Schizosaccharomyces pombe: one gene and its partners. The protein of the gene in region 1 purifies or fractionates together with the protein of each later gene. This does not show direct contact. Each region holds a gene or a part of one and is shown in the gene's direction. Other genes may lie near its edges.

Region 1 (3,758 bases):
GAAGACATAATGTATAAAGAATTTCAGAAACATCCGGACAATCCTTTCAATAAGGTAAGAAGCGATAAGGGTACATGCATACTCTTTTTGATGATGACCATATCATGTATAAACCCTAAACAGGAAAACCATTGTAAATATCATTTTTACTAACAATTTCAGATGAATGTGAGCTATAACACTAGTCAAGATGAGGTTGAACAGCTTCGTAAAGCTCGTAAAGCAGAATTGGAAGCACGTTTACGCGAGTAACTATAGTTATGGCAATATGTTTAGAACTTTTCTTTTTCCTTTTTACTATGGTAATTCTTTTATATTATTTATAAATTATCAATAAACCAATTACTAAATAATTTTTCTCGACATTCAAAAATGAAATCTTAAATTAAACATGAGAAGTACAAAGTGATTTGGTGATACACCGGTAAATCAAAATTTACAGCTAACTTTGAATTTCTATTAGCACAAGAATGAGTGGAGCGTATACTAATTGTAGGGCACAAGTTCTATTCTAACCGCTTAATTTTTTTTTTTGTAGTAATTTTGTACTTGTTGCTTTCATTTACCCAATTATATGATATTTTTTGAACCATTAAGGAAGCCTACTGCTGAAAGCCAAACCACCTGGCAATATGGCTCTGGCAATGCTAAATCATCCGTTCCCCAACTACCCCCATCTCTTCAACACATAACCAAAAGCAGGAAATATTTATAAGACAGTTAAATTGTTTAACAATATAACTGTTATTTTATTGAATTTTGAATTTTTTCTTCTTTATTTACGCAAATGTCGAAAGTTGCTAGCGCTGCTGGAAAGGCGATTGATTGGGCTAGTGTAGCTAGCAAGCTGAAGCTTGATGCCGCAACTGCTTCTGCTATTGCTAATTTTCGCTCTCGTCATGCTCAGGCAGTTGCCAAATTGGGTACATTGCGAGAGCAGGCTACCACAGTCGACTTTGCTACCTATCGTAGTGTTTTAGCCAACAAGGAGATTGTAAATCGTATTGAGTCTTCTATGAAATCTTTTAAACCTGTGAAGATTGATTTAAATTCGCAACTCAAAGCGATCAATGCATTTGAAGCAAAAGCTAGCGAGGGTGCTAAGAAGAATGTCGAACTTGTCAAAGCTGAATTACAGAATTTGAGTGCTACATTGAAGAACATTGAACAAGCTAGGCCTACTGAAGAAATTACCATTGAGGATATGAAACAAGCAGTTCCCGAAATTGAGAAGATTGTTGAAACAATGGTTACCAAGGGCAAATGGGTCATCCCAGGCTACCGTGAAAAGTTTGGTGATTTGAGTATTATGTAGTTTGCTCCATTAATGAAACATTTTATAACTAGCAATCATATGTGTTATCAATACAAATAAATGTCAGTTGAAAGATAGATAAAATTTCGGTATTTATGAATGGTTTCAAGCAGTATGTTGAAATGTTTAACCATTATTATTAAAATTCTTTTATTGAGTTTCAAACTTCTTAGTACAACTTGAATGACTTTATTTAACCTATTATACAAACATCGTTCACAGCATAATAGTGCGTTAAAAATTTCCACGATCTTTTAATAAGCTATGTCAACTTACGTTAAGTTTTGTTATATTCGTATAATCTCTATTCGATCTAGTGGCACAATAATGAAATTGCTTGTACAATATTAACTATGGATACCTTGGTAGGAGAGCTCAAGATTGAAAGGGCACTAAAATCACATATCTTAGCTCAATTATTAATCATTAGCTTCCATTACATTGTGTTTTGACTCAATCAAAGTAATGATATTTAAATATTCAATCCTTACTTAGATTTTAATAAGACAATATATATTAGCAATGGAGACTTCACTGCAGTATACGTTGGATAACATGTGCCGAGCTGTTAAGTATTCGTTAATAACGATTTTATGTGAGATTAGCTCATATGGTTTAACAATGCGGTATTTCTATGCTTGAACTTCAAATATAATTTTGACGCGTTTAATAAGCTATCTGGTGAACTAACGCGTTCCTGTCTTTCACCATGTTTTACAATCAAGATGTTCTTACAAAGGAAAAGGGAGGAATGGGAGTAATTTGGTATAGATTTACTACAAGATAATAATAAAGCTAATAATTATAGGCTCGCTGCTACATTGGGTTCAAAACATTCATTACGCAAGCTTCACAAGAAAGACATTATGTCGGTAGATATCGATGAAGCTTGCGATTTTGTTGCCTTTTCTCCAGAACCGTTGGCACTACGATTAAGTAGTAATTTAATGATTGGTGTAACGCGTGTATGGGCCCATCAATACTCATTTTTCCATTGTATGTGATGACAGTAGTTTAGGCTGGCAATTTTCTTACTAATTATGCTTAGCCCAAGTTTCAACTCTTCATTTACGTGTTCGAAAAGAATTGGACCATTTCACTTCAAAACCGTTTAAGAATATCGATATTCAGAATGAACAAACGAAGTACGAGTACTATTGGATAATATGACAGATATTCAAATTGCTAACCTTTTAGCCCAAAGCAGTTACTACTCGCAGAAGATCCTGCATTTATCCCTGAAGTTAGTCTCTACGATGCATTTAATCTACCTTCTGTGGATCTACATGTTGACATGAGTTCTTTCACTCAACCCAAGGAAAATCCCAATATTTCAGTTCTTGAAACTCTTCCAGATTCTACTTCTTATTTGATCAATACCAGCCAAAATTATAGTTTACGAAACAATGTTTCGAGCTTTGTTTACGAGGACTCCAGAGCTTTCTCTACAGAAGAGCCCCTTGACTTTGAGTTTGATGAAAACGGGGATATCCAGGAATTGACCAAGGGCACTATAAATTCGGATCCGTCGCTACAAGCTGCTTCACAACATAGCAATCTTGGTTCCGTTCAAAGAGAATACAATAGTGAAGAACAAGAATCAAGGATTCACATGTTCGAAATCGATGAGGACGTTTTACCGTTACCCGTTCCATTGCAATCTGTTATGGATTCAGAGCATAATGAAAATGAACCGCGAGCTTTAAAAAGAAGAAAGGTCCAAAAACTGCTGGAGCCAGATGAAAACATAGAACTGTCTACTCGAACTTTGTCCCAATGGAGAAAGAATTATGTTGAACGAATGATTGCTTTGGAAGCAACAAAGTATGTTCGTCGTAGAGGAGCTTCTTCGGCAAAGAAGAAAGAATTGAACAAATTCTTTGATTGGGAATCTTTCCATCCTCTTTTAAAACCATGGATTGAAAAGCTCAAACCATCAAACAATACTCCCTCTGAAATTGACGATGTATTGAGGAACATTGATACTTCTGAAGTTGAAGTTGGACGGGATGTTCAGGGTGAATTAGGTTTAAACATACCTTGGAATACTTCATCTCGATCAAACAGTGCCATAAATTCTAAAAGCCATTCTCAAACTGGTAGTGAGCATTCCACCCCCTTGCTTGACACTAAATATAGGAAGCGCTTGCCGCATAGCCCATCGATGCCGAGTAGGGTAGAATTTCTTCCTGCCTTAGAATCAAGTCAATTTCATGAAACTCTGAACTCAGAACTTTCATTACAACTCTCTGATGACTTCGTACTATACAAAAATACTCAAGAAGAAAATGCACATTTAATGTTGAGCATGGAAAAAGAATGCGCAAACTTTTATGAGTATGCAAAAACGGCTATCTATGAAAATAATGGGCGCATAACATTTTCAAGCTTATTACCCAATGATTTAAAACGACCTGTAGTGGCCCAGGCATTTAGCCATTTA
Region 2 (3,758 bases), on another chromosome or scaffold:
TTCAGTAATGAATTTAAATAATTGAGGTAAAGATAAGCAACCAGCATTCAAACGCCTAAAGAATGTAGAAATGTTTAAAATATCCATTCTTAAAAAATCGATGCTCTGCGGGTGGTCATGTTCAACCGATTGTGATACATCAATAAAATAAACTTTACCTTTATGATAAAGTAAATTATATTCTGACAAGTCAGCATGCACGAGATGACAAACATGAAACAAAATACGCATATTCCGTGCTACAAGCTGATATAATTTAGTAGCCTCACCAGGCGTCATATCTATATCCTTTAACTTGGGGTATGCCCATCCTTTCTTGTCCCCCAGAAACGACATAAGCAAAACGTGCTGCTTCAATAAGATTGGCTCTGGGCAAGGAATACCAGCAGCAGCCACACGCTTCAAGTTTCTTATTTCTTTTTCAGCCCATAAGCGTACCATTTTTCGGGGATTGCGCTTGTTATACCCATGACGAAAACGAAATTCTCCAGAAACATAGCGGTCACGATCCTTAAATACTAAGATTGAAGTCTTATAAATTTTTATAGCAAAATGTTTACCATCCTCGTTTGTTGCATGATACACATTTGCTTCCTTTCCCGTGCTTATACAACCATTAATTTCTGATATAGTTCCATTATTTATTAATTTTAATAAAATCATTCGAGTACGGGGATCCAGCACTTGTTCAGATGTAGCGCGGTCACTTTTATCCTTGATAGATGACTTGTCTTTATTTGTCAGTACTATTAAACATGAAAATGTAAAAGTGTGAAGGATCAAAAGACCTCGAGTTCTAAAACCTATGAGCAGTTAAACTATATTACACTTACCCTCTGCCTCAAACCTGTCATTTAATTTTATATTATTCACATAACGACTAAGCGTAGAAACGTGATCATTAACTGAATTGATCTTAGAAGAATTATTCCCAAAATTTTCCTGTCTAGCAGAATAATCTAGTAAAAATGTTATTAATGATCATGAAAAATGGTAACAAAAATTCATGCAAAGTGCTTTTGGCTATTCAGTATATGAACTTACTTGAAGAAGCTTGATTCCAGTCTATATCGTCTTCCCTAAAGTAATCATTGTCAGAGCCATCACTAAAGTCGCTATATTCTGATTCTTCTTCATTTGTCTGTGCATCGTTTTTTAACTCCTCAACCATCTTAAACTTTAAATAAATCAATAAAAGAATAATTTATTTAAAAATTTGACAAAGAACTGGATACAAATCCAAGTTTTTGTATTTTGTAGGTGGTAGTAAAAACTTTTTGTTGTAAATAAAACTGGTATATAAAAATGTAAGAAGTTAGCAAATTATGATTACCATAAGTTACAAGATGATTTTTGCAAACCAATGATTTTTTTTTTAATTTAGTGGATTATATTTTTTCCATTCTTCGATCAATAAAATATATATTACATTTCCAAAAGACATTTAATGTTAGTGTGAGCGGCTTTCCTCATTAAAGCTTGACAATAAAAAGTCAGATAGAAAAGAAACAATACATAAGCTCATATATGCATTTTTTTAAATTCATTACTGAAACGCTGACGCTCAAGAGCAGCTTGCTTATTTAACACTAATGCATACTTGGCATCTAAAAAATCACATACTCAATTAAGCTAGCGCGCTTTCTACCAATTTGATTGTGCATTCCCAGTAGTTTAATAAAGAAATATTATATTTGGAAATTGATGCGGCAGTAAAGAGAAAAGCAAACGATCTTCAGTTAATACAGTTTCATATAGAAAAAACATAACAAAATCAACATCAACAACTCAAAGAATTTCTCATCTTGGTTAGTATGAATGAATTATTATGTTGTAGATTCTTAGAACTCTGTTACCACAAAGATTGATACTTACACGCCATAAAGAAGACACGCGACGCGTAAATACTTTAACCCAAACCAACCACAAATCTATGTATATCACAAAAGTAAGTAAAGCATTATAGAACCCCAGTTAACTGATTTATTAAGATTGTTATTCAAGGGTTTAAATCTTATAAAGATTATACTGTAATAGAGCCTTTAAGCCCTCACCACAATGTAATTGTGGGACGAAATGGATCTGGTAAAAGCAATTTTTTTGCTGCAATTCGATTCGTATTAAGTGATGCGTATACACATTTAAGCCGTGAAGAAAGACAAGCTTTGCTGCATGAAGGCCCTGGTGCAACTGTCATGAGCGCATACGTTGAAGTTACGTTCGCTAATGCTGATAATCGATTTCCCACCGGTAAAAGCGAAGTTGTCTTGCGTCGTACAATTGGATTGAAAAAAGACGAATACTCTTTGGATAAGAAAACTGTAAGCAAGACAGAGGTTATTAATCTTCTCGAGTCTGCTGGGTTTTCAAGATCCAATCCTTACTACATTGTTCCTCAAGGAAGGGTCACATCCCTAACCAATGCAAAGGATTCAGAGCGTTTAGAACTTTTAAAAGAGGTTGCAGGTACTCAAATTTATGAGAACAGAAGAGCTGAATCCAATAAAATTATGGACGAGACAATTCAAAAATCGGAGAAAATTGATGAACTTTTGCAATACATTGAAGAACGGTTGCGTGAGTTAGAAGAGGAGAAAAACGATCTTGCAGTTTATCACAAAAAAGACAACGAAAGAAGATGCTTGGAATATGCTATTTATTCTCGCGAGCATGATGAGATTAACTCCGTATTGGATGCCTTAGAACAAGACCGGATAGCTGCACTTGAGCGTAATGATGATGATTCGGGTGCTTTCATTCAAAGAGAGGAACGCATTGAACGAATTAAGGCTGAAATTACAGAGCTCAACCACTCGCTTGAGCTTTTACGTGTTGAAAAACAGCAAAACGATGAGGATTATACCAATATTATGAAAAGTAAAGTCGCATTGGAATTACAGTCTTCTCAATTATCACGTCAAATTGAATTTTCGAAGAAAGATGAGAGCTCAAAGCTCAACATACTTTCTGAATTAGAGTCAAAAATCTCTGAGAAAGAAAATGAGCTTTCAGAAATTCTTCCAAAGTATAACGCTATAGTATCTGAAGCTGATGATCTTAATAAAAGAATCATGCTGCTCAAAAATCAGAAGCAATCACTTTTGGACAAGCAATCGAGGACTTCTCAATTCACTACCAAAAAAGAACGTGATGAATGGATCAGAAATCAGCTCTTACAGATCAACCGTAACATTAATTCTACAAAGGAGAACAGTGATTACTTGAAGACTGAGTATGACGAAATGGAAAATGAACTCAAAGCAAAATTATCTCGTAAAAAGGAAATTGAAATTTCCCTTGAATCTCAAGGTGATCGAATGTCGCAACTACTTGCTAACATTACTTCAATTAATGAAAGGAAAGAAAATTTGACGGACAAAAGGAAATCTCTGTGGAGAGAAGAAGCCAAACTTAAGTCGTCTATCGAAAATGTTAAGGACGATCTTTCTCGTTCTGAGAAGGCTTTGGGGACTACAATGGATCGGAATACAAGTAATGGTATTAGAGCTGTCAAAGACATTGCTGAACGTCTGAAACTCGAAGGTTACTATGGTCCACTTTGTGAGCTTTTCAAGGTTGATAACCGTTTCAAGGTCGCTGTTGAGGCTACTGCTGGGAACAGTCTATTTCATATCGTGGTAGATAACGATGAAACCGCAACTCAAATTCTTGACGTTATATATAAAGAAAATGCCGGTAGAGTTACGTTCATGCCTTTGAACAAGCTTCGTCCAAAGGCGGTTACTTATCCTGATGCC
Region 3 (3,758 bases), on another chromosome or scaffold:
CCCGTAACGTTATTTAAGTATAGTAAAAGATATAGAAAACAAGATGGAAGAGGGAATTCGGAAAGATAGTTATAAAATAGACAGTAGTTCCAAGTCTCTGGGGGATAATAGGGGTGGTTTAAACGACAAACTTAGCAAACGGAGTGGAGAAAAACTACTACCTTAGGTAAGATATAAAATGCCCTCGAGTGATTGCTGTAGGAAATATTAAGACAATGATCCGTAATAATAAATATCGTAGGCTTAATAATAGCAAACTAACTCAGAATATCATTGTTAACAACTTCTGAAAGCAAACTCAAATCACACTTAGTACCCAGTTGTGAGCAAAGGCGCTAACTCGCTTCATTCTATTCTCCGAGTACTTTCGGTAAATGGCATTGTGATGGTTAGGGGCATCGACCAAACATTCCATAATGATTATGGCACACGGTTTCAATTGACGAGCCGTGTACCCACTATAATATACATGGCAAGGAGTCCAATCCAAATGACCCAACATCTGCATAGACAAGTAGTAGGCAGTAGCAGCAATGAAGCTAATATGGGCACCTATAAAAATTTCATCCATCAAGGTTACTTCTTGAAGATATTTGGCGAGCATGCGAATGTCGTGATCGTAAGAATCAGCTCGACTTATACGACGCAAAAACGACATGGGCCCTGGCCAACTAATGTCAAAATCCAAAAGCATCAGCATATAGCGCTCGGCTCTAATGATTTCGTCAACGGTGAAGATCCCTTGGACAACATGCGCAAAGTTGTAGATGCTTGGAGGGTGTATCTCTTCATACTTACAGGCAATCAGCAAAGCTGATAAACCTACCAACTGGACTTTTTGCAAAGATACGACTTTTATGGAAAGAAACCGGTCGATAAGGTTTACCGCCAAAAATAATGTCTCAGGAAGTAAACGAAAATGTATTTGAACTTGCACAATCCAATCAACAAGCATATGTCTTGTAACCCAGTCAATCTCTTGCTGAACTGACATGTAATTAGGAGGTGGAGCCAGCTTCCTTTCCAAAGATTGCATGTAGTGAAATATCTCAGGATCATAGTCTGGTACCATGGATGGATCAGTTTCTATATCCTCAGGCGATGGGTTAGCTTGTAATCGAGCAGCAGCTTCAGACAGGGCGGCTAAATCTTCCTTGGTCCACTCGGGAATTGTTGGTAGTCTATGCTTCCCGTGTGTAAGAATTCCTTCAGGTGCGTCAAAGCTGCCCTCACGGTTTTCCAAATCATCATCTCCAATAGACTTAGGAGTGGAGCGAATTGACCGTTCCTCTATCTCGACTTTGTCCTGGTATGCAAAATCCTCTTCAAAAGTGTCGCCAGTGGACGAAGAGATGGAGGATTCATTATTCCCTTCAATCAATGTTGGTTCATCTTGTTGATTGATGTTATCTACTGCCTTGAAAGGTGCACGAACACCCGTATTTAACTTGATGTGACTTTTCTTCTTCACATAAATGTGATCCTTTTGTAGCTGATTCTCATCTTGAAAATATGTTGCGTGTCTTGTTTGAGTCGAAACGTCCATTAGTAAACCAGCACACACTTGTTTAGAAAGTTTTGGACATGCGATGAAAGTCGGTTTTCAAACTGCCTTTTACTCAGGTAGGAACCCTAGTCTTCTCTTTGGAAAAGATCCTTAAAAATTTAGATGCTTTTCGACTTCTAAAAATTCGAAAAAATGACTCTACACCCAAATATATGAAGATACTATTGAACGAAGGATTCGAGGAAAGTAATCTTTTGGATTGACCAGAAAGATTAGTACTACAACAGTACAAGAACTAAAAATCTCAAATGAAACCAACGAACAAGAGTATTAACCAAAAGTTGGAGTAGGACTTTGCAAAGGAATACCGAGCTACTACTAATGAGAAAAAGGAGTTGGTGGGTTCTCAAAAGGGGTCAGGGAAAAGCCCGAAATTCCGAGTAAAAACGCGTTCTTATTCATAAATTAGTTACTTTATGTTTCAAAAGTAAAACTTTAATAAATTATTATATACTTGATTGCAATGGTTGTATGTGAACTGCAAAATAATTAATGACTGACTGACGCGACTCGTGTCACGTAAACAAACCCATCGTTTCTGTTAGATTAATCTTTGCCATAACCAACCACCATCGTACCAATTAATTGAGTGATTTCAATGAGATTCGAATTTGAATCAGATGCAAGCAGTCATCTCAATGAAGTCCTTACTGAATTAGAAAGCGTGGAGCTTGAAAATGTTGAATATGAAGGTCCAAGTTTACAGAATGTCAGCATTTGTGCCTCGCCCTCAGAAAAAAAGCGGAAATGGGGAACACAAGATGAATTTTCTTTGACGGAGAATGAAGAAAATAATGAAATAGAGACGAATGAAGAGATGCACGTAAATTCTCATGATTATGCCTTTCCACAAGAATTTTTTCGTAAGTTTGCTTGCTTATAAGAGAAAAAAAGTCTTCGATAATATATTCTAACAAGCATACGAAAAGTCAAACTGTTGGATATAGATATGCCGCTCGAGCAACTTTCTCAACATTATTTTGAAGACTATAAAAGTAATAGCGCTGACTTCATGCTGACCTTTATAAATTTCGCATTAGTTGTAAGTTTAGCAGGAATGATCCGCGACGTTTTCTAGCTTTTGCTGTTTTGTTTACTCTTCCTTTGAAACGTAAACTAATTCATAGGCCTCTGGTTGTCAACCCTTCGTTACGAACTTTGATGTACAGGACGTAGATTCAATTCCTGAAACATTGTCTCAGGTCAATCGTTCAAGTTTTCAAAAGGTGTGTGCATCATCTTTTTGTAATATTTACTTACCATACATATCGCTAGTCTTCTTGCGCTTATACTGATTATCTTTATACTTCTAACTCTAAAGAAGCTAAAACGGTGCGTATTCGTTTTCAGCTTTTTTTGGTCGAATTCATCAGTAAAGTTTACGTGGAAGACGCATTCCTCGGAGACTCATTCATGGAAACTACAAAAGCTTGGATTTTTACCATGACGACAAGTCCTTGGATGCTTGTTAGACATACTGCAACAACTATTTGCTGTGATATCATGCGATGCTTATGCCTTATAGTAAACAAACTTTCCGAAAAATCAAATCAAACTGCGGAAATTCTGGTACTGAGAGACTTAACATCTAGGTTCATTGACATGATTCACGACATTTGTGATAGGTTGGCAATACTACTTTTCTTAACGACTCTAACCTTTTTACTAGTGTACTATTCTCAAGGATTCATGATATACGTGCAAGCATTCGTATAGTGTGTGTTACTGCTCTATATGATTGTTGCCAATTGCTTCCCACCTATCTTATAAACAGAAATTTGATTAGACATTCTGGCTGGGGGTTATCTGATGCAGTAAGTGTATAAACAATCGCTACTGCTGTATCATTTAAATACTAACTGAACGTATAGGAATCACAAATCCGAAAAATCTCCTTAAAAATAATAGATTATCTTTCTTCTCATGAACCTGAAAAAGATCAAGATTTTGTGGTTGATTTTCTTGACAGATTCTCGTTAAGAATTGTGGAGATATGTCGGTACGATATTGATTCTGTTCGATCTGTTGCCCTCAAGACATGCGAGAAACTGATGGAGAAAATATCGTTGAATGGAAAATGTATCAATATTGTTTCTAGCTGCATATTTGACGGGAAGCCCCAGAATCGAATCTCGACAATGCGAATCCTCGTTGCCCATACTAATGAACGCTACGCAAATTATTGTGAAGC

The links.
Region 2: the proteins of rec8 (region 1) and psm3 purify together in Schizosaccharomyces pombe (affinity purification with mass spectrometry; one study listed by BioGRID). This does not show direct contact.
Region 3: the proteins of rec8 (region 1) and rec11 purify together in Schizosaccharomyces pombe (affinity purification with western blotting; 3 studies listed by BioGRID, with this or other methods). This does not show direct contact.

What each region holds. Positions count from the first base shown.
Region 1 is NC_003423.3:2,566,914-2,570,671, forward strand, and holds the start of rec8 (meiotic cohesin complex kleisin subunit Rec8), read left to right. Parts: upstream 1-2,024; coding exon 2,025-2,080; intron 2,081-2,089; exon of another isoform or gene 2,090-2,123; coding exon 2,124-2,311; exon of another isoform or gene 2,312-2,363; coding exon 2,364-2,460; exon of another isoform or gene 2,461-2,512; coding exon 2,513-3,758. Other genes in the region: oxidative stress transcription coactivator/ribosome recycling protein Oxs1, read left to right, coding at 1-54, 163-252; atp7 (F0-ATPase subunit D), read left to right, coding at 788-1,315. UniProt on the Schizosaccharomyces pombe protein: Involved primarily in the early steps of meiotic recombination. Required to ensure reductional chromosome segregation.
Region 2 is NC_003424.3:1,223,012-1,226,769, reverse strand, and holds the start of psm3 (mitotic/meiotic cohesin complex ATPase subunit Psm3/Smc3), read left to right. Parts: upstream 1-1,911; 5' UTR 1,912-1,933; coding exon 1,934-1,948; exon of another isoform or gene 1,949-1,991; coding exon 1,992-3,758. Other genes in the region: rio1 (RIO family protein kinase), read right to left, coding at 1-731, 834-959, 1,045-1,171.
Region 3 is NC_003421.2:1,225,333-1,229,090, reverse strand, and holds the start of rec11 (meiotic cohesin complex STAG protein Rec11), read left to right. Parts: upstream 1-2,122; 5' UTR 2,123-2,165; coding exon 2,166-2,430; exon of another isoform or gene 2,431-2,496; coding exon 2,497-2,609; intron 2,610-2,624; exon of another isoform or gene 2,625-2,694; coding exon 2,695-2,793; exon of another isoform or gene 2,794-2,842; coding exon 2,843-3,192; intron 3,193-3,236; coding exon 3,237-3,381; exon of another isoform or gene 3,382-3,438; coding exon 3,439-3,758. Other genes in the region: G1/S-specific B-type cyclin Cig1, read right to left, coding at 299-1,546.